Linked DNA regions of Rhinolophus ferrumequinum. The protein of the gene in region 1 interacts with the protein of each later gene in a pairwise test. Links are inferred from orthologs where the notes say so. Each region holds a gene or a part of one and is shown on either strand. Other genes may lie near its edges.

Region 1 (7,190 bases):
CAAGTCCCTAATACAGTGATTAGCACACAGTAGGCCCACAGTAAACTTTTGTTGAAATCACAAAAAGTCATGTAAGAGGTATTCTCATTTGAACACTCTTGAAGGCCCTGAAGTACAGGTAAAGATTGCAGAGTAATAAGTTTAAAAACCATTCAAAAACCATTCAAGTTATTAGGAGACTCTCTTTAACACTTGACCTCATGGCAAAATCTACTAAAACAACACACGAAAAAGTTATAGTTGTAAAACATTAGTATGATTTTACAAAAAAAGGTAGACAAAAGAATGAAAAGACACTTTTGCATTATATATGGTGTCTAGTGTTTTGTGGCTAATCAAATGTCACTGAGATGAAATACAGAATTTTGACTTACTGCTTTAATATTTCAAACCTCTGTGAACAGTGTATCCAAATGACTGCTTCTGGTTATCTAATCTAAACACTCTAAAAATGGACAAGTTCTTTATTATAGATGGCAACTAATAGAATGAAAATCTCAAATTCATTAACTCAAAGATGTAACAAGAGCACACTTACAAAAGCATTTTTCTAACTTTGATAGTATGGTTCTATTAGAACATGCAAAGAAAACTGCAACAAAAAGCATTAAGAAAAAAAAAAAAAGCCTTTGGGAGATAGCAATCCTCTTCACAGAAACACTTTTAGAGAGAATTAAAAGCAGGTTCGCAGGTTCCATGACTTTCCCTTTATTTTTCACAAGCTTTTCTAGTATTTCTTTTTGGATGGAACCAATGAATAACTACCACTTATCACAAAACATCCTTTCTCAGATATGTGCTTTATATATTGCAATCTTCTGAACAGTTTTTCAAGCTGCTCAAGTCTTTCAACCCCAGCAATTTTTCTTATTTCTATTACACTGCACTTATTCCATGAAACAGCACAGAAACCAATTTAATCAACTTTGCTTTCTTTTTTAAAAAACTTCTTTGCTTTCCGAAGTTTCCAAAAGGCAATACTACTATCTCAATCAATATTTTAACGATGTTTTCTCTTTTTCATTTAGTTCCAATCTTTACTTACTTCAGTAATTCCTAATACTATAGTTTAACAGTTTAATTTGTCAGAATGACCATATCATATTTTCCTCTATATTACAGTAATATAGAAGACAGTGAACACCTTCTCTCTAAGCAATTAATTAATACTTGAGGCAGTCTACATGTCTGTAACCTTATAATGACAACAGACATTTTGTCTTGCCTTTTCAACTACTGCAGAAATGTGGTAGTCTTTAAAAAGATAACTCATTGATTTTTAGGGTCTTAGATCTTTCTTGTCTACAGAAGGTTAAAACATATTTTTTCCCTTTATTGTAACATGTAATTTAAAACATTTTCTAATAAACTCTAAACAAAGTAACTTTTTAAAAGAACTAGAATTAAAATAATTGCAAATTCTGAGGACAGATTAGGTAACAATCTCAAAAGAAAAAAATACACTGGCTTCATTCTTTTAAAAATCCTTGAAGAACATCACAGTTCACTTGATATTCTAAAATTGCTACAGTTGTTGAGATTTCGTAATTTCCAAATAGACTGATTCCTTCGTTATACATCCACCCACCCCAAGTATTGTGGTACTTGAAAACAGAAGCCAAGAAATAAAAATTGTTGAGTGTTCATTCCACTTCACATATAGTTACTTATAAACCATTGATAATATAGGAAACAGAAATTTTTTTCTTAATCATCTTTTGTCCTTTGTGAACCAAATTCCCCCCGCCCCCCACTTAAAATCTGGGCTGAATCTCCTGATTCTTGCACCATGCTTTAAAACCCCAAAGAACAAATAGATACGGCTGTTGAACTGATCTGAATTTAATTAAATCACAAAGGGGGAAAATGTATTCGGCTAACTTTCACAAATGCTACATGTTACAATTATGATTATTTTTAAGTCTGAGGAAGTTGTTCTCAGGCACAGGGCAAACCCTGTAGTCCAAAATCAACAGGTTTAGGAAATTTAAGATACCATATCAATTAAGGCAACACCAAGTATTTGAGTACTTCAGTATGATACTTTCACTCCGGTAAGGTGAACATGCCTCATAATTTATGTAAAATGTCGCGTTCTGTAGAGTTCCTGTGTCATGTCAAGGCAGAGAACACTAAACCTGTCGGTGAAGGTTGGACGTGAGTCGGGGAGCAGAGCTGGACAATTACGAGTTACACAAGAAAGTACAGCATGTCATTTCGCAAAGAGGAGGAGAGAATTTTAACAAATGGTTTCTATTCTTTGGCGAGCGCATTAAGAAAATTTTGTCGGTGAGAAAATTTTCCATCTTACACATTGAAACAAAATTCACATAAATTCTTACTGGAGGCTGGAGATGAGCATAAATTGGTGGAATAATCTAACTTTTCACATAAAACACAATTCCAAACCTTTAAAATACGTGCTGTACTGGCAACAAGCACCACCTTTTCAAGACCTCGCCGGCACAGGAAGTGTGGGAGGGACACCCCCAAATCATCCCCCTACCCCACAGGAAGTGAGTTGTTTCCCCTCCCCCAGGACGGCCTTCTTCCCCTCCCCCAACCGGAAGTGAGGCGCCCCCATTCAGTCGGCCTCAACCCGAGACAAACCAATTAACAACAGCAAAAGAGCGATGGTCTTCAAGGGGTGAAGGGCACCCCCACTGTGGCCACCCCCAAGCTCGCCTTGCTTACTGACCTGCTGACGATAGGGGCAGGCAGGGGCCTGGGGCTAAAGAAAGTCCCTGCACAGAGGACAATTCTCTGAGCCCCTCTCAATCGCATTCACTCTTCTCACTCCGTCGTCTCGCAGCTTGACAAAAAATTCCTCCGCAATACTTTATTATGATATCCTTCTTTCTTTACGTAATTGTTTAACTATCTTCCCATAGGCAACTTCTCTCATCGCAGTAACATTTAAAATTGTTTCGGTAAGGAGAAAAATGAAATACTATTCCCAATACCTTCCGAAAAATGAAGGGATTATTTTGTTCAAAAGCGGCGAAGGACTACGTGACTACGCAAAGCGAGACTTATTTTCGCGAAGGTTTCTGGGAAGTGTAGTTTTTAAGAATTGCTAAGGTCTGCAGTAAGTATTGTAGCTTAAATTGGCAATTACTATCGAATGGAGTCCTTGAAAACACAAGTTTCGTGTTCGACGCAGGCTGACCTAGGAGGCTCCGGCACCAAATGGGCCAATACTTTGTTTCCCTTTTCCTCTAGAACTTACTTGAACCGAAATTTCCCTTCATGCCGGCCCGAGGTTCTGGTCGTCCCGCCCTCCTCCTTTGGTCACACTCTCCTTAGCCAATCAGAAGCCCTCTAGGTCTCATTCTATTGGGGTAGGAACACGAGAAGGCGGGGCCTCACGGTGATACCTCCTGAGGGACGGAGGCGCGACAGGGCAGAGAGGGTCGAGGGCTTGTGCGCGCGTGCGGGCTCGCTCCTCAAGGAGCGCGGCGGCGAGTGCGCGCGCGGAGGGCGGTGCGCGGGGCTGGGAGGAGGCGGGCGGGCTGGCTGGTGGGCTGGGCGGGCGGCCGGGAGCGCGCGGTGGACTCGGCGGCGTCGAGTAGTTAGTTGTTGTTAGTGTCAGTTGGTCGGCGGCGGTGGCCGCGGTGAGCAGGAAGGGGACCGGCCGGCTGGCGATGGTGGTCACCGCGGTGGCGTGTGCGCCCCTCAGGTAACGGGGGCAAGGCTGTCCGCGTCCCCTTCGTCCCCTTCTCCTCTCGCGCCGGCTTGCGGAACCAGGGTCGCCGCGAGGTGAGGGCGCTAACTGGGGGGAATCCGGGCGGGGCAGCGCGGGGTCTGGGGAGCGCCGCCGCGGGGGCTCGGGCGGCGGCCCCGGCGCGGGCTCTGCGGCCCCGGCCAACCCTGCGCCCCCCCGCCCCTGTGCCCCCGGGGCCCGCCGGCACCGCGCGCCCCCTCGCGCCCCTTCCTGCGGCGGTGGCGGCAGCGGCGGCGGCCCCGGTAGCTCGGCGCCCCCCAGAGGAGGGAAAGTTGGGATCTGGCGGCGACGGACGTCTCCGGGCGCGGCTGGGAGCCTGGTGGGGAAAGTGAAGGCTGGATGGGGGAGCTGGCCGGCGGGAGCTTGGGGCAGGAAGGGCTCCCGTCCTCTTGCTAAGTTCGCATGGACGTCTCGCCCCGATCCCCGGAGCACCCGGCGCAGCCTAGCCAGCAGCGCCTGGACGAAACCGGTGGCTCTTTGCCTGCTCACTTGGGGCTGCGGTTTGTGAGCCCCCTAACTAACGTGCGGCTTTGCTTGGTTGGTCGGTTTGTTTCTCCTTTGCCCTTTGACTCATCCCGTTCTTGCAACTTTTCTTACCTCCCGCGATGGGGACTTGCGGTCTGAACCCCCTTCCCACCTCCCTCCCCGTCGCCTGCACCACCCGTCTGAGAGTTGGATTTCGTGTTTCGTCCTTTGGTGACGTTAAAGACTGCTGAGAGCAACAGGAAAGAGGAGCCCTCCCACCTTTAAATGTTACTTTCTTGCAATCCGTTATTATTTTTAAGACCCAAGTTTAGGAATTTGAGAGCTGTGGAATGGAGTTGTTGGAAGGCTGGCGTTTTGACGAATTAAAGGAAAACTAGATTTCATCTTTATTGGCCTTGCTATAGGAAGCCTAATACATTTTCCTTCTGCCTCTGTTAAATATGGTAAGAGTATACGTTAAATTACATATTTGGAGACCAACATACAAGGCTATTTTTTAGGTCATTAGATGATGTATGTCAACAGCTTTTCACCCGAATTGGGATGGCCTTGAGGATTCTGTTTTGGGGCCTACCTACTGATTTTTGTCTACCAAAGTAAATGAAATGATGTAGTAATGTGTGTATTTGGCAAACCCATATTGCTCTCTGCGGTGTGGAAGTTTTACGTGAATTATCCACAGGGGTAAAACTTTCCATGTGCAATCTTGGATACCTGCTTCTTGATGGCTTCCGTAATCTCAGAACATTTCTAGACAGTGCAATTCACTGACTACCTTAATTATTTTCTGAAGTGCTTGGCACTTCTCTTTGGTGACTCGTTTAGTAAACTATAATGGCAAGTAGGGTACATTTTCATGGCTTCAAATATGGAGTTAGAGTCTCAGCCCAGAGATTAACAGTTAACAATGGAAGCAGAATTCATACCATTGCTAGTGAGTTTTGGCTATGACCAACTCACAAACTATGTGAAAAACAAACATCTTTCCATAGCTGTCAGAGGGGAAGAGGAGAGAATATTTTATCATGTCTTTATTTTGGAGACTCTAACATGGCTGTATTATGTGGGAAAAAATGTCAGATTATTTTCTTTAAGGATTTTTGATGTGTGGTCCTCCTCTCCATCCCTCTACCCTCCATTGAGGGGCTGACATTTATGCTTGGCTGGCTTCCAGGAAGCGAAGAAAAGTGTTTTGTTGAAAGGAAAAGATAAGATTGCTTTGAACTATTATACTATGACTATTCATTTTACCCAGTACAAAGAAATGTCCTTGATAATTTTTGTACCCCATTAACATGCTGTCAGAATTCATTTTTAAACATACCCCGAGGCCCATAAGGAAATAATGCCACTTCATAACTGTTCCTGACAATCACATTAAAAAGTTGTTCCTGGAATGTGTTATGCGTGTATTCCTATAAACATTTATCTTTGTATATTTATGGTAATGTAAATATTTAAGTCTGTGAGCTTAAAAACTTTGATTTGCTTATTTGCATACATGTTTTTCAACGTCTAGCAGTACCAACCATATTTGCCAAATAAGCATCAGCCATAAATTCATGCTCTGGCACATTTCATATAGTAACTCTTTGAAATTGCTCCATGGTGAAGCATCATGAGATTAGCATTTCTTCGTGAGAGAGATTTGTTGTTGTTGTTAACTGTAGTGACGTGCTATGTAAGTGGAACAGGTGCGGGGCTCTCGCTGTTTGTGTGGAAACCTGCCAGATCATACTCTTTTGTTGGATGGGTTGTTTAAGTAATTTAGAAACCAAACTGTGGCTCCTGGCATGCCAAGTGTGAGTTCATGGCTCCATATCATTGCTGCAAATACCTATTTTCACTGCAAGAGGCAAGTGTGTGTGATGAACTTTATTTTCTCATTGCTATTCTCTTTACAGTAATTCCTACTTCCCACCATCACCTGAGTCCTTTCATTACTGGAGAGCTCCTGGGAAAGTCGAGGCTCCTTCATTACTGGTTGTTTTCCTTGGGGAAATTCTAGTAACTTTCAGGCCAGGAATTGATAGTTCACATTTGTTTGACACATATTTCGAGTGCCTTTTAAGTGTTAGGCATGGTGGTAGGCCCTGAGTATATGTAGAATGATATCCCTTTTTGCAAGGAGCGTACAGTTTAAGAGAAGATAGCTGATAACCAATAATTACATTGTGATGTGTTGTAGGACAGGTATAAGCAGATTCTTATGGATGGAAGCACAGAGGAGCAAGGGTAGTTGACTAACTACCCACCAAGACTTAGGGTCTTGGTGGCACGAGAGTGTCCTGTAATACTTCTTAGTGGGTTACCTGAGCTAGTCTTCAAAAATTGGAGTTATCTAGGTTCAGAAAGAGGGAAAGGACAGTTTAGAACACCACTGTCCTGAAAAAATACAATACAAGCCACAAATGTAGCTCACGTTATTTAAAAATTTTCTACTAACATTAAAAAAGGAAAAAGAGAAATTAATTTTAAAGACATTTATTTAACCTGACATATCCAAAATATTATCATTTCAACATGTAATCAATATAAGAAAGTATTGAGGTATTTGATATTCACTTTAGTTTTATTTTTCATTTATAGTTGACATTCAGTATTATTTCACATTAGTTTCAGGTGTACAGCATAGTAGTTAGACAATTAATATAATTTACGAAGTGATCCCCTTGATTCGTGCTCACCTGGCACTATACTTAGTTATTAGAATATTACTGATTATATTCCTTATGCTGTACTTTACATTCCCGTGACTATTTTGTAACTACTAATTTGTACTTCTTAATCCCTTCACCTTTTTCACCCATGCTCCTTCCCCCTCCCATATGGCAACCATCAGTTTGTTCTCAGTGAGTCTTTTTTTATTTTGTTTGTTGATTTTGTTCTTTAGCGTCTACATATAAGTGAGCATATATGGTGTTTGCCTTAATTTGTCTGAATTATTTCACTTAGCATAATACCCTCTAGGTCCATCCAT
Region 2 (7,245 bases), on another chromosome or scaffold:
TGCTCAAGGAACAAAATAAGGTCCTAAAAGACCCTGGTCCTGAGGACAGGGTCCTAGGAGCCCAGGCCTTGAGATTAGAGACGGGCAGCAGGGCAGATGGGGTGGGAACTAGAAGATGAGAAGACACACAGGGCATGTCTTAGCTTGGGCTGCCACAACAAAATACCTTAGACTAGGGGGCTGACTTAACCACCAGACATTTATTTCTCAGAGCTCTGGCATCTGGAAGTCCGAGATTAGGTGCCGACTAACTTGGAATCTGGTGAGGACTCTCTTCCGGGCTTGCAGATGGCTGCCTTCTCGCCGTGTCCTCACATGGTCTTTGTGGAGAGAGCGAGCAATCTCATTCTCTCTTCCTCTTCTTGTAAGGCCACTGATCCTATTGGGTTAGGACCCCACCCTTATGAACTCATTCAACGTTAATCTCCTCCTAAAGGTCCCATCTCCAAATACAGGTACAATGGGGGTTGTTAGAGCTTCAGTGGACGAATTTGGAGTAGGGACACAAGTCAGTCTCTTTGCTCTAGGAGATGGGACACTCTAGTTTATCTTGACCCCTGGAGCTTTCAGGGACGAACCAGGAAGGGGATCCATCAGAATGTGCCTCTGAGTCACACTTCCTGAGTGACCCATGAGCCACATCTGCTTCAAGGGCCATCACAAACACTGTTGGACCTCAGGGATAAGCCAGATGGTCTAATGATCCAATTTCCCCACCTCTGACCCTTCTACTGATGCAAGGCAGGATCCAGAGACTCTTGCCACCGGTGCTGCCAGCGTGTTCTCTGGCTGTTTCCTCTGCTTTGAGCTTTTGAGGTCAGGGGAAAGGCGGGCAGTCAGAGGTGCCACCCTACCCTACGGGAGCATCGCCCACTCTATTCCCGGCAGCCACACTTCTCCCCTCTGTAATTACAAATGGCATAGTGACAGAATCAAAAGAGGATCTGGAAACCAGCAGGCCTTCACTTCCTCAAACATTTGGGGGCAAGGCTTTGTGAGCTAAAAGCACGTTTTTGAAAGATCCTCCCTGGTAGGATACACAATCAAGTTTAGCAAATGATTTTTTTAAATAGTATTTTTTTCCAAAGCCCGTATGGGCCCAGCACAGTGACATCAAGTCTGGCATTTAGATCTGGCTGTCACTGATTCTCATATGTGACCCTGGGCATTTCACTTCTCCAAGCATAGGTGTCCTCATTTGTAAAAGGTGGAAATAATTGCAAGAATGTTGGAGGCTGTATATGGCAAAGTGCTTCAAAAACAATATCATAAAACTAAGTCAGATATTATTAATAATCAGAGTCATACCTGCCTCTAGGTGTTTACAGCCATCGTGTGGAAGACAAATTGTATATATAGCATGGCATCTGTTATGTGGTGAATTGTTCCCCCATACAGATGTTGAAGGCCTAACCCCTGGTACCTGTGAATGTGACCTTGTTTGGAAATAGGGTCTTTGCAGATGATCAAGTTAGGAAGAGGTCATTAGGGTGGGCTCTAGTCCAATGTAACTGGTGTCCCTATAAAAAGGGGAAATTTGGACACAGAGACACACACAGAGGGAAGACAATGGGAAAACATAGGGAGGAAACAGCCATCTACAAGCCAAGAAATACTCACGGCTACAGAAGCTGGGGAGAGGCCTGGAGCAGATTCTCCCTCCCAGCCTCAGAACGAACCAACCCTGCTGACACCTTGATCTTGGACTTCCAGCCTCCAGAACTCTGAGACAATAAACGTCTGCCGTTCAAGCTGCCCAGTTCGTAGTGCTATGTTACAGCAGCCCCAGGAAACTAATACAACACCCTACCCTGAATTTGCTTTCTTACTTTCTCTGGCTTATTAAATGCCACCGAACTTACTGAGTCACCACTATATGCTCTCCCTCCACTAAGCTTCATAAGGGGTTTACAGTCTTTGTTCTGAAGGTGCACTAGACACAAAAAGGAAGACAGCAGGTTGTGTCTCATCTGAGGGAGACACATGCTTTCTTCAGAAGTTCAGAGGAGAGAGAAGTATAATACATGTGAGCGGAGAGGCTGGAGGGCCAGGTGACAGCTGAACTGAGTCTTGAGGGATAGGTAGGTTCCAGATTGGTGGGGAGAGAGGGAGAGTCAGGCCAGTGAGAGAACAGCCCAGCAGCCCGGGCACGGAGATCAGTGTGAGAGGCAGGGTCCAGGAACACGCTCCATCTGTTTTTGTGGTCTCCCTGAGCTTTCTTACCATCCACACTGCCTCTCGCCTGTGTCTACTATGCTCTCCCCTCCTCATCTTTTAAGGCTCAGCAAAACTGTCACCTGCTCTGTGAGTCTTTCCTGACCCTCTCCCCATGAGCTGGGTTTGCAGGGGGTCATATAGCTCAGGCCTCGAGGACAGTAATTGTCGTGCTTTGTGTGGACATCTGCTGCTCTGTGACTGAGTGTGGGAGAAGTGTGCCCTGTTTCTGTGGCAGAGACATCGCAATGTGCTCAGCAAAGCGACTGTTTTCTCCTGGTCACACAGGAAAACTGCAATTCCCAGACCCCTAGCCTCCAGGGACTGGGTGATTAATTCTGATCAGTGAATTCAGGCAGAAGTGATGTGCACGCCCCTCCAGGCTTGGCTTCTAATGACCAGGGGACCCTAGCTAGCGCTTGCTTCTTGCTGTGGGCTGGAAGTCGAGGGGTCAGTGGAGGTTTGGAAGCACTGAAGGAGAGTGGTGGAATCTCTAGATGGAAGATGCTGGGGTTGCTGAACACCTATGTGGAGTCTTCCCCACACCCTCCGACCTGCACTGAAGTGGGATCAGATGGGTGACCACAGCAGAATATAAACTACCCCTGCTAACCACCTGGCTGATGGGCCTGGTCTGGGCACCTGATGGAAGGCTCCTTACCTGGAACCCTATCCTCTGCGTGGATATGCTACAGAAAGCCAAGCAATGACCTTGGCCACTGGTCTACGCTGGGAAGGAAAGAGGGTAGCCCAGGTGCCAGAGCTGGCTCCGTAAGGCAGCACCAAGGTCAGTGCTGCTGATGCCCATGGTCCTTGTTGCATGTAATCCTCACAGCAGGGCTGGCTAGGAGACCAACTCCCTCTGGGTTTGGTTTTACCCTCTGCCTGAAGAGAGAGGCGTCTGGACCCAGACCACCTCGCCTGCCAGCCCCCAGCCAATTCCCCCTCAAAGCCGCCCACCACCGGTTTTTATCTGCAGCCTCCTGTGTAGTGGGAGTTCACTCACCGTGTTTTTGTGGAGGAGGATTGAGTTTTTCCCTAGAGACGCTAGAAAGACAGTTTGTCTCAGTCTAACACTAACGCCCAGCTCCACATTTTTGGCTGTTTCTGTGGTTACCTTTCTTCAGGGATGTTTGGGGTGGGTGGTGGTGGTAGTGGTATATATTTTATTTTCTAAGGCCTGGATTTTCAGGAGCTGCTGGGCGAGGAGTCCCTGATTCTTGCCCTCTCGCGCAGGTGCCATCGTCAGGGAATAGAGGAAGTCTGCAGGAAACACGGTCTGCCTCTCCCAGGAGGCCACGTGTCCCTGGGATTATCTCAGTGACTTCAACCAAGCCCCTTTCTCAGCAGAGACTGAAGACTCACAGCACATCAGGGAGGGAAGGGCCGGAAGAAGCCAGCTCCTCCCGTCCATTTTATAGATGGGGGAACGGAGGTCAGAGAGTCTAAGGGGCCTGCCCAAACCGCCTGGAATTAGCGAGGTCAACCAGAACCCAAGGCAGGTCTCCCTTCTCCCGGCCCCTGGCTCCTTCCCTGAAGAAGGCGAGGGAAGTTTGGTGGTATCTGCTCACCGGACGGGCGTTGGCGGTGACACAGAGGGGCATAGCAAGCGGACTAGGGCGACTCAGGCTCTTCCCCTTCTGGGCAACACGGGCCCCATTTCCTGCCGAGGACTCGGGAGGCGGGGAAACGGGCACCCGGCCGATCCCTCCCGGGCGCCGCCTCCCAACCTCTCCCACACCCGCAGGCCAGAGGCCAAGGGTTTGGGAGGTGGAACCGGTGCTCGGCTCCTCCCCTCACCCAAAATTCCCGCGGGCTGGGACCGGGTCAGAGCCGCGGCTTCGCCCGGGGTGCGCTAAAGGAGAGCTAGGGACCAGCGTGGGACGGGCCAGCAGGAGGCGTGGCCAGAGATGAGGCGTGGCCAATATGGGGGCGTGGTTGAGGAGGGAGCAGTCCGTAGGAAACTTGAGCGCCCGCCCCCAGCCACGCGCCCCGCCCCCGGCCCCGGCCTCCGGGCCCCGCCCTCGCGTTCCTTCCTTCCCGAGGCTGGCAGGCGGGTCGCGTCGGCTGCAGGCGGCGGACCGGCAGACCGGCAGACGGGCGGGCACCTCTACCTCGCTCTCTCCCTCGCTGCTGGCTTCCTTTTGTCTTTCTCGGCGGCGATGAGCGCGGGGCCGGCGCGAAGGCTGCGGGCGCAAGGAGGCCCGCGCTCCTAGCCACACTTCCCGGTCTCGGCGTGCTTGTCCGGGGCAGCGGCCCGCGCCTGCTCCAGCGCGGCGGCACCGAACTTGGGCTCGGGAAGCCGGCTGACCGCGTCTTGCGCGGGAGCAGGTAGGGAAGGGGCGGGCTGCAGGTCTGCGGGGAGTGCGCGGCGTCCGCTGCGATCCGGCTCTCTGCGTGTGTGTGTGTGTGTGTGTGTGTGTGTGTGTGTGTGTGCGTGTGTGCGTGTGTGTTGGGTGGGGGTGCCTATGTTTATTTCTCTGTGCGGTGGAGTTGTGGGTGACTGAGGGCGGTGGTGTGCCCCTGGAATGGGGTGTCCTTTTGGGGATCTGTGTGTGCACCTTTTGGGCTGCGTTTGTGCAATTGTGTGTCGAGGCTTAGTTGCTGGTGGGGACTACGGCGGGGCGGGTGTCGAGTGTGAGCGGCTGTGCGTGGGGCGGGAGGGGCGGGGTGGGCGTGGGCGGTCCAGCCCTGCGCGGGATCCCGGCTCGCGGGGGGCTGGAGCAGTGCGGAGCTCCAGAGCCCTGGAGGTACAGCTGGGATCCCGAGGGCTAGCGCGGGCTCCGGGAGCACCTTAGGCTAGTCCCGCCCGGGGGCAGGTCCACGCGGCCCACGTGGATCGCCTTTTCACTTTGGCTGTGGGAGAGGACCCGCACGACGGCCATCCGCTTCTTCCTTCCGGGGCGGAGGGGCGACGGACAGAGCCCTTTTCTCGAGTTAGGAGCCCTGGCGTCTCTGTGACCCGCACTGGACCAGATACACCACCTTCCCGGGTCGCGATTTGCTTGTCTATCAAATAGGGACAGTTGCTCCCTCAGGGTCTGTCGTGACAGCTAAAATGATCGCTCTTGACCAAGTGCCTGACACATAATAGGTGCTACGTTAATTGGATCGGAGTCTCCCTCTTCTTTTAATCTTTTTTTTCTTTATCGTGGGTAGGGCTCTTACATTCTGCCCCCAAGACCCCACCGCGCGTGTTTTGTGCTTCTCTCCGGGTCCTAACTTACCCGCGAAGCACCGAGATTCGAGAAAGTTTCGGCTGCTGGGCGCTGCCTCCTCGCCGCACGTCCTGGGCGACGCCGCCTCGGGTGTGCAGGAGAGCGCAGCACAGCACCCGGCGCGGGCCCTTCTCTAGCAAAGGCTCCTGCGCCGGAGCGGGACCCCTCTCCTGGGCAAGGCAGCGGCTGCGGGGTCGGGAGCCCTTTTGTTCAACAAGTGCCTAGTCCCCGGGGCGTGCAGCTTGTGGAATTTGAGAGCCACGGTGTGAAAGTGGCGCTCCCCGCAGGGACAGATCTTGGGCTCTCAGGGCGTCCCGGCTGGGCCTGGTCAAAGTGAAGGCCACCCCCTTTGCTCCCCGCAGATACCGGTTCCCCCTAGAGGAGGATGTTTGCCAGGACCGCTAGTCCTGCCTTGGGCCTCCGCATTGGACGCCCTCCGACCCCACCCCCACCCCTCCCTCTCCGCTCCCTTTGATGGCCTCACTCAGGAGGAAGAGGGTCTGCTGGGACCCTGCCTCATAGTCCCACAGCTTAATTTTAAAAATGCTTAGTTTTGAAACCTGCTACTGGTGACATTGAACTGCGGTGAATGTGCACACAGCTCCAACCATGATGCACTCCGGGAGAGTCCTGCCAACAGCACCATAGCACTTCCTCGGACCCAGCAGGGTGAGCTGGCCCCGCTGCCCTACCGCCTTCTGTCAGAGTCAGGGAATCCTTCCTTCCATCTCTGTGGTTTCTGCCTCCCAGGACCCTTCCCAGTCTGAACAACAGATAACCTTTCACCAAGAGAGCAGCTGACCTCACCGTGCAGGAGGCTCTCAAAATGGAGCTGGCGTAGAAAGGGGCAGGGGCATGGGGTCTGTGGGCCTGGCTGCCTCTGGGTCTGGGCTTCGTTTCCCAGTGTCAGGTGCTCCTGCTGGTGTTCTCAGGAAAGCTGGAATACTCTGCAGGCTTTTAGGACACAGGAGCAGAAACCTCTGGTTGGGATCCTCAGGTTTGTCTTCTGCCAGTAGGTAAGCCCTGAGATCTCTGCAGTGACGGCAGGCCGGCGGAACCAAATAAGCTAAGTTTTCATCCTGATTTGGTGTCAGGGGCACATTTAGAATGCAGCCTGTTCCATAAAATGATTTTATACACTAGAGGAGAAAGGGCTTTTGATTTTCATCCTCCTCTTCCCCATAATCAGATTCAATAATAATTAAAAAAAAAAATTAGTCTGGCTTTCTCAGAAGACAGATCAAAAACTGTTTCTCTCCCTGGTTGAAACCAGCTCTTTGTCTCAAGCAAACCAGTGTTTTGGCCCTAGATTTATTTCTGTTTCACTTTTGAAAGTGCCTGTAATTACTGAGCTCCTGAGGTTTTATTGGATAATATGCCAGAGAGAAGGCCCCGGGGCTCTGCCTCTCACTTGCTGCTGGTACCTGATCTAGCCTTGCCTGCTCCCTTTGGGCTCCACTTTTATGCCTTTTGTAAAGTGGAGAATAGATGTCAACGTGTGAGAATTTGGGAGACTTGGCATTGGGAATCAGATGCCCCGAAGGTCATTTGACTTATAGAAAAACAAGAATAAGTCAAAACCCGAGAAAACCAGAGATTCGCCCAAACTTAGCCAATGACCCAGTCATTTCCAACAAGCCCTGGTAGAAGAGAGACTCCAAGAGAAATAGAAGATTTTGGACAGATTCCGTCAGAACTCATCTTAATGCCCCCTTCTGGCCACAGGCCTGTGGAATAAGGACCACATGGACAGGAGTGGACTCCCTGGGTGTACGCCCCCCAGCTGGTGCCTCGAATGGTACCCAGCTTTCCA
Region 3 (7,029 bases), on another chromosome or scaffold:
CATGTCAAAAATCACCGCTCTGTAGGGGCCGCCTCCAGAACGAGTCCATCGCCGGGCTGCCTGGTGCCTGCACTGGTTGTGTTTCAGGAAGGCTGCCCTCCAAGCCCACTGGAGAGGGGACTGGAAAAGCCGCCTTATGCACATGTTGTGGCCAAGGCTGCGTGAGAAGGCACAGGGCAGTTTGCCTCCAATCCAGACTCCCCCCCTGGAGCTCAGGGGTGCCAACTGGACATCTCCACTGACCTCCAACGCTTCAAACCACAACCGGAATTAAACTCGGTATCTCTGCCCTCCTTGACTACTCCTTCTGGGGTCCATAGCTCAGTAAAAGGCTCCACCAGTCACCTAACTGCCCAAGCTGGAAAACTGGGATTCGCCCCTGATGTCCCTGAGTCCCCACCCGGCAACCTCAACTCCAGTTGCTCAGTTCTTCCTCCTGAAAATCTCTACTACCTCTCTCCGCTCTCACTGCCATGACCTCACCCACAGATCATGGCAACAGCCTCCTAAACGGCCCGCTCGCCTCTTCTTGAACCTCCTCATTTTTCCTTCACTCTTCAACCGAGGAATCTTTCAACACTGCAAGTTTGAAACCTCCTATGGCTCCCCATTGTGAGGGTGAAATTCAGGGAATCAATAGCGCAGTTAAACTTAGCTAGTTTCCAACTTCACTCACCGCATAGCTCACTATCTAGCCACCTGTCATTAGACTTAGTTTGCTTGCAGTTTGATCCATCCTGATACTCATCTGTTTTCTCGTTGCTTCTCCCCTCACTGATTGACTGAAGAACTCTGTGCCTTTCCTCAGGCTACCCGTACCTTGTTAATTAACAACATCCTAACCTGAAAAGAGCAGTTTCTTAATCCTTAGGCACTGGGACACTGGAATCCCATCTACAACTTCTTGCAGGTTTTACTGGTGATGCACAGTCGCAAGGGCCAAGGCTGAGTCCAGAGCTAACATCGTCTCCAAACAGACCAGACCCCAGGAAGGATGTCAGCCCTCAGACCTGCCTGACCGACTCCCACTTTCCTATATAAGGAAAAGCTAACCTGAAGTTAGTGCAGCAGCCCACTCTCAGACTCCGGACTCTGCCCTGGCGACACCCTCCCTCCTACACCCCCCCGCCCCTGTTTCTCTCCTTACAGCCTGTGGCAGCCGACATCTTTGGACACTGCCAAGGGCACTTTCTCTCTTCCTAACTTTAATAATAAAACCTTTCTTCTTTCCCACTTTGTGTGTTTTGTGTGAATGCTTTCACCTTTTGTGAATGACCAGGGGTTAATTCCACACCACGAGACCCATTACTCTTATGATAAACTTCCTGAACCTGACTGAAAAGGACCTTTAAGATCTGTGTCCCCTCTTTCTACACCTTAACCTGGATGATCTAGACAAATAAATCTACATGCACCTTCCTGAAACAATATTCTCCTCCTGCTCCTAGGCCTTTCATATGCTGTTTTCTTGGCCTAGGAAGCTACCTTCCACCTGTAACCTGGCTAACTCCAAACTGTCCTGTAGGTGGTAGTTTACCTGTCACTTCCTTCCTGAAACCTCTTCTGGCTACCAGAAAAGACAGATGAGGAGTCTTTCCTGTATATTCCTAAGATACCCTGTATTCACCTCCTCCTAGAAACAAGGATGCCACCGTCACACCATCATCCCGCCTTCAGACCATCACTGCAATGGCCTCTTGTTCTCCATTGCCTCTTTTCTAAACTTACTTTCAAAAGGTTCAGGAAAAAACATACACAACACACACACATACAAGGTCTGACAATTAAGTTCACAAACTTGTTGCAATGATATTGCTAATCTTTTTGCTATCAGAGGGATTATTCATTATGAATTTGTACCGACTGGACAGTTAACCAAGTTTACTATGTGGAAGTGCTGAAAAGGCTGCATGAAAAAGTTAGACGACCTGAACTTTTCCCTAACAATTCATGGCTCTTGCATCACGACAATGCATCAGCTCACACGGCACTGTCTGTGAGGGAGTTTTGAGCCAGTAAACAAATCACTGTATTGCAACACCCTCCCTGCTCACCTGATCTGGCCCCCAGTGACTTCTTTCTTTACTGGAAGATAAAGGAAATATTGAAAAGAAGACATTTGGATGACTTTCAGGACATCAAGGGTAATACGACGACTGCTCTGATGGCCATTCCAGAAAAAGAGTTCCAACATTGCTTTGAAGGGTGGATGAGGTGCTGGCATCAGTGCGTAGCTTCCCAAGGGGCATACTTCAAAGGTGACAGAAGTGATATTCAGCCATGAGGTATGTAGCACTTTTTCTAGGATGAGTTCAGGAACTTACTTGTCAGACCTCATATTTATATCATGTGGAATTCACAAGTCAGGCAGAAATACAGAAGTGATACTGGAGAGCCTCCTCACTATAAAAACTTTAAGTCTCCTTTTCCCTAATGTCTTAGCTCCCTAGTCCCTGGTTGGAATCATTTCTCAAATCAGTTTCTTAATCGTAAACAATAGATTGTTTTTAACTTGAATCATAGAAATATCCTACCCCCTCCTTTAAGTCCCCTAAATCTTGTGATTTATGCTTGTTGTGATTTATCTTGTTGATTATTGTCATTGTAGCAGAGCGTTCTTTCCAGGCCTACCTCCTGGGTAAACAATAACTGAATGACCGATTAAACCAGAAGAAAGACCACAGGCTCCATGAAGCTGAACAAATTATTCGTCACACAGTCTCCCTGCGTCAGTGGCTTTCTGTCCTGCTCGTTGGACCAACACTTTTAACTCTATTAACTAAAATCTATCTCTCCTCATGTCGGGTCCATTAGGATGCCCCACCAAGACTTCCAGTACATTCTGACCACAGAGGTCAACATAGTCCTCCAGGTGGATCCCAAGATCCCTTACCCTCATCTAAGATCAGATAGGGCGAGAGTCCCGTGAATCCCCAATAGGCAGGGACAACGGCCACATTCAGCAGGAAGCAGATACAGAAGAGATCTCCTGTTCCTCAATGTCCCACAGAGACTTACCGGGATCACATCTCTCATGGGGGACATAAAGCAGGCTGTTAGAGGCAGGAATTGGGTCTCTGAGACACCTGGATACAGCAGGTAACATTCCTCCACTTCCAACAGTCTACAAGAAATAACCACCCAAAAGACCTCGGCTCTCCGCCCAAACTTGCCCTTGTTTACCATAACCATTAGCCATTATCAATCACAGGTATCAACCAAGCAGCCCCACAATTAGAGAGGAGCAGCCCATTCTAGAAGAGAAGGAAATAAAAACTCCAAGTCCTCACCAGTCAGCGCCTTTTGAGCCACTCTGTGGCTCAGGCCCACTCCTATCTCTCTTTGGAGTGTACTTGCACTTCTAATAAACTGCTCTTTCACCAGTGTATTTCTGTGTCTCATTCAATTCTTTGCTGGAGATACCAAGAACCTGGACAGGGCGCCGAGAAGGGTCCGCTCCCAGGTCACTTCCTCACCACACCAACAATGACTAGGCTCTCAGTAAACGTTTGTGAAGTGATGGGGCGGGAGTAGGACCCAGATCTATCTCCAGCACTGGACACTTAACAAACCCACCGCCCTACCCTAACAGCGATGGAGACACTGCAATCCAGTCCTTACTCCCCGCGGGCCCTCAGAGAAGCGCATTTACCTGAGTCTCAGCGAACCTATCTGTAAAGTGGGGCTGACACAAAGCATCCAGCCTTGAGCTAGAGCTAGCGGTCAAATAAAACAGAAAGGCACAAGGGCTCTCGACTGAGCGCGGGTTTCTCGGACCATTAGGAGAACTCGCGGGGACGGAGACGTTCCGCCGTCTGCTGAGACAGGCTGAAGGCGAGACCAGGGCGCACACCTACCGATCGGCCTAACAGGGCCCGCGGCGTCCCTCCTTCCCAACCTGCTCCCGATCCCGTCAGGCAGGTTTAGGCTCAGACTCACTTCCACCCCAGCCAATCAGGGCGCGTGCTGGTCTGCGCATGCGTAACCCTGCGGGTCAGCGACGGCGGCCGGGAGGCGGAAGTGGAAGTTGTTGTGGCGCTGAGGGTTGTGCGAGGATCTGCTGCTGCTGCTGCTGAGGCGGCGGCAGTGGCGCTGAGGTGGTGGCGGCGGCGCTGCTCACACCGGGCCGCTCGGCCTGTCGGCTCGCGTCCCAGCCTCTCCTGAGCCCGCCGGGGCCCGCGCCGGCCAGCGCCTGCCCTATGAGTGTGTCACTGGTTGTTATCCGTCTGGAGCTCGCAGAACACTCGCCCGTCCCCGCCGGCTTCGGCTTCAGCGCCGCGGGTAAGTCCCGCGGCCTCGCCGCCTTCCCTGTTGCTCGCGCCTGGGCCCCGGGGGGAGCTGGTCCTCCTAAAGTACGGGCTCCGGGAAAGGCCTCGGCGAGAGCTGTTTCTTCGGGAAGAAGCAAAGAGGGGGCCGGTTCCCTCTCACTCCATCCTTCCTGAAGAGGCCTTCCCAGGTGTGGACGCTGGGACGCCCTTCCCGGTCCCTCCCTCTTGGTGCCTTCCCACGGGCACTCTGTTTCTACCTGGCGCGTCGCCTCCGCCCTGGGTTACAGTCGAGTTTTGTAAGTTGTTTTCCTCTTGGCTTTGTGAAGGCAGGGACTGGATTTCAGCGACGATGAGGGTCCTTGGTTTAATTAAATCGTTCCTCTTTGAAAATGTATTCACTCAGGCTTCTTGTAACAATAGCGATCATTAATAATTCACATTTGTGCATTTCCTGTATCCCAGCTCTGTACCTGTGCGTCTTGTCTTTAATTAACAACTCTTATTAGGTTACATGGGTAGATGCCCCTTTTTACATACAAATTGGGAAACTGAAGCCAGGTGATTGAATGAGTTGCCCACGATTATCTGTAAGTGGTGAAACTGGGATTCTGATTCAGAGAGCTGGACTTGAAGAGTCGGAGCTGTTCCTTACCGGCCACACAACCTCCTTAGGAGAGAAAGGCAGCTATGACTGTTCCTCAAACAATTACCTGACAACATTCATTCAAGAAATACTTGTTGAATGCTACTGTCTGCCGGAGCTTTAGTTGTGTGCAGGATCAGAATCCCTGCTTTATTGGCCCCGGCAGTTCATTGGGGAAGACAGATGAGTTACAAAATAAAGGTAGAATTAGAAGTGTGGTACGTGCTGTGAAGGTAAGAAAGAAACAGTGTGGAGAACTATTACAAGAGGATGTGTTTGGTTTGGGGAGGGGAACTAGAGCCCGTAGGGATGGTGTCATTGGAAACTTTCCCGAGTATGTGAATTTTAGAGCTGCAAAGTAAAGATTGAATATGATTTAATGAGTTACGATGGACACTTTCCAAAGGCTAAAAGTGATCTCTGAGTTCTGAAAGTCAGCCAAGTCCTCATTTGCCACATACACACTTCTACATGGGTGGGTCATTGATTCATTTGGTCATTCAGTAAATCTTTAAAAAGCTTCCAGTGTGTGCTAGGCACTGTGGTGTAAGTGGTGGGCAAAGTAGGCCTTGTCCCTGCCCTGATAGAACTTATCTTAAGGGTATTTCAGTTGAGTCTCCAAATTCCTTTTCCATTTTTGTGTTTCACTGATTGAAGACAGTGATTGCCGATTTTCATAATACAATTCATGGCATGAGGTTAACATAGGTGGTTTAAGTAGACTACCCCTAACGGGTTTTGAAAGTTTTACTTTTTAATGATAATGACTTGATACCTTCCTTTGGGCTCAATACACAGTTGTACTTTACCAGGTATTACAAAAAAGTTGGCTCATCTGGGTATAATCATTCTCAAACCTTTCTTTAAGCTCTTACTCTCATTGGTTTGCTTTAAAGTGAATCGTTTCACTGGAACAGTCCTGCATTTCTGAATTTATTGCACTGGGTGTTTATTGACTGTCTGCTTGGTACTGCAGGAGCCCCAGAGGTGAGTGAGATGGGCACTGCAAAGGCATCTTAATATCTTCGGGGAAGGAAGCAGAGAGAAAAAGGAAACCTATTGGTGGGTACATCGAGAGTGGAGAGGAGCCCGTTTTATTATCAGGTATTAATCATTCATGTGTTCTTTAGCTGGGGAAATGTCTGATGAGGAGATCAAAAAGAAGACACTAGCTTCAGCTGTAGCCTGTTTAGAAGGGAAGTCACCAGGGGAGAAAGCAGCAGTCATACATCAGCATCTTGGCCGTCGAGAAATGACAGATATGATCATTGAGACCATGAAGTCCAACCCAGGTATCCTTTCTAAAATCTTACACCCTGTTTTGTAATGTAAGCCCCTGGTTGCCTGTTTTACATGTTAGTCAGTGAGCCCATGATTTTGCCCTCTAGCATGCTTCTCTCTTTCACTGACTGTGTGCCGCCTTACCTGAGATTGTCGAACCACGTTTCAGCTTCTCCAAATATTTCTCCTAAATTAATCCTAGCAAGCTGGGTTGACAACTCTATTCAGTGAGGAGAGCTGCTTACCACCTAGGTCAGTGGCAAATCATGCATAAATGCAGATAAGCATGTGTGTCTCTCCCTGCCTGCTCTGCCAGCTCACTCCACCCGGAGGAGTGGATGGGTAGCACATCTCTAGCATGGAGGTGCTTAGAACTGGGAGGTTTGGTTTTCACACTTAACAGCCTTGAATGTTTGTCCCACTTAGGAGTGCGTGATGGAAGACACCTGCTTTTATTGTCTTCCTGACAAATGTAAGAGCCATCCTTGAGTTTCTGAGGCTATTAATAAAACTTTTATGGGGCAAAGAGCACTTTTTGGTTGAGATGCCCCAAACACTGTTCTGTGAATATAGGCCTTTTTTTTTTTTTTTTTTTTAAATTGGGGAATATTGGGGAACAGTGTGTTTCTCCAAGGGCCCATCAGCTCCAAGTCGTTGTCCTTCAGTCTAGTTGTGGAGGGCGTGGCTCAGCTCCAAGTCCAGTTGCCGTTTTCAATCTCAGTTGCAGGGGGCACAGCCCACCCTCCCATGCGGGAATTGAACTGACAACCTTGTCGTTGAGAGCTCATGCTCTAACCAACTGAGCCATCCAGCAGCCCCCATGTTAATATAGTTCTT

What was found. The genes of interacting proteins can lie anywhere in the genome.
Region 2: the proteins of HMG20A (region 1) and HPCAL1 interact in binary tests that used the Homo sapiens proteins (3 or more experiments, as listed by UniProt). The two-hybrid records come from large-scale screens. The link is inferred for Rhinolophus ferrumequinum from reciprocal best matches to the Homo sapiens genes HMG20A and HPCAL1.
Region 3: the proteins of HMG20A (region 1) and BRAP interact in a two-hybrid assay, tested with the Homo sapiens proteins (2 studies listed by BioGRID and IntAct). The link is inferred for Rhinolophus ferrumequinum from reciprocal best matches to the Homo sapiens genes HMG20A and BRAP.

The regions. Positions count from the first base shown.
Region 1 is NC_046289.1:100,470,132-100,477,321, forward strand, and holds the start of HMG20A (high mobility group protein 20A), read right to left. Parts: upstream 3,011-7,190; 5' UTR 2,785-3,010; coding exon 2,699-2,784; intron 1-2,698. UniProt on the Homo sapiens protein: Plays a role in neuronal differentiation as chromatin-associated protein. Acts as inhibitor of HMG20B. Overcomes the repressive effects of the neuronal silencer REST and induces the activation of neuronal-specific genes.
Region 2 is NC_046296.1:65,484,261-65,491,505, reverse strand, and holds the start of HPCAL1 (hippocalcin-like protein 1), read left to right. Parts: upstream 1-4,223; 5' UTR 4,224-4,545; intron 4,546-7,245. UniProt on the Homo sapiens protein: May be involved in the calcium-dependent regulation of rhodopsin phosphorylation.
Region 3 is NC_046308.1:6,973,570-6,980,598, reverse strand, and holds the start of BRAP (BRCA1-associated protein), read left to right. Parts: upstream 1-4,007; 5' UTR 4,008-4,199; coding exon 4,200-4,281; intron 4,282-6,041; coding exon 6,042-6,203; intron 6,204-7,029. Other genes in the region: ACAD10 (acyl-CoA dehydrogenase family member 10), read right to left, coding at 1-157, 3,653-3,699. UniProt on the Homo sapiens protein: Negatively regulates MAP kinase activation by limiting the formation of Raf/MEK complexes probably by inactivation of the KSR1 scaffold protein.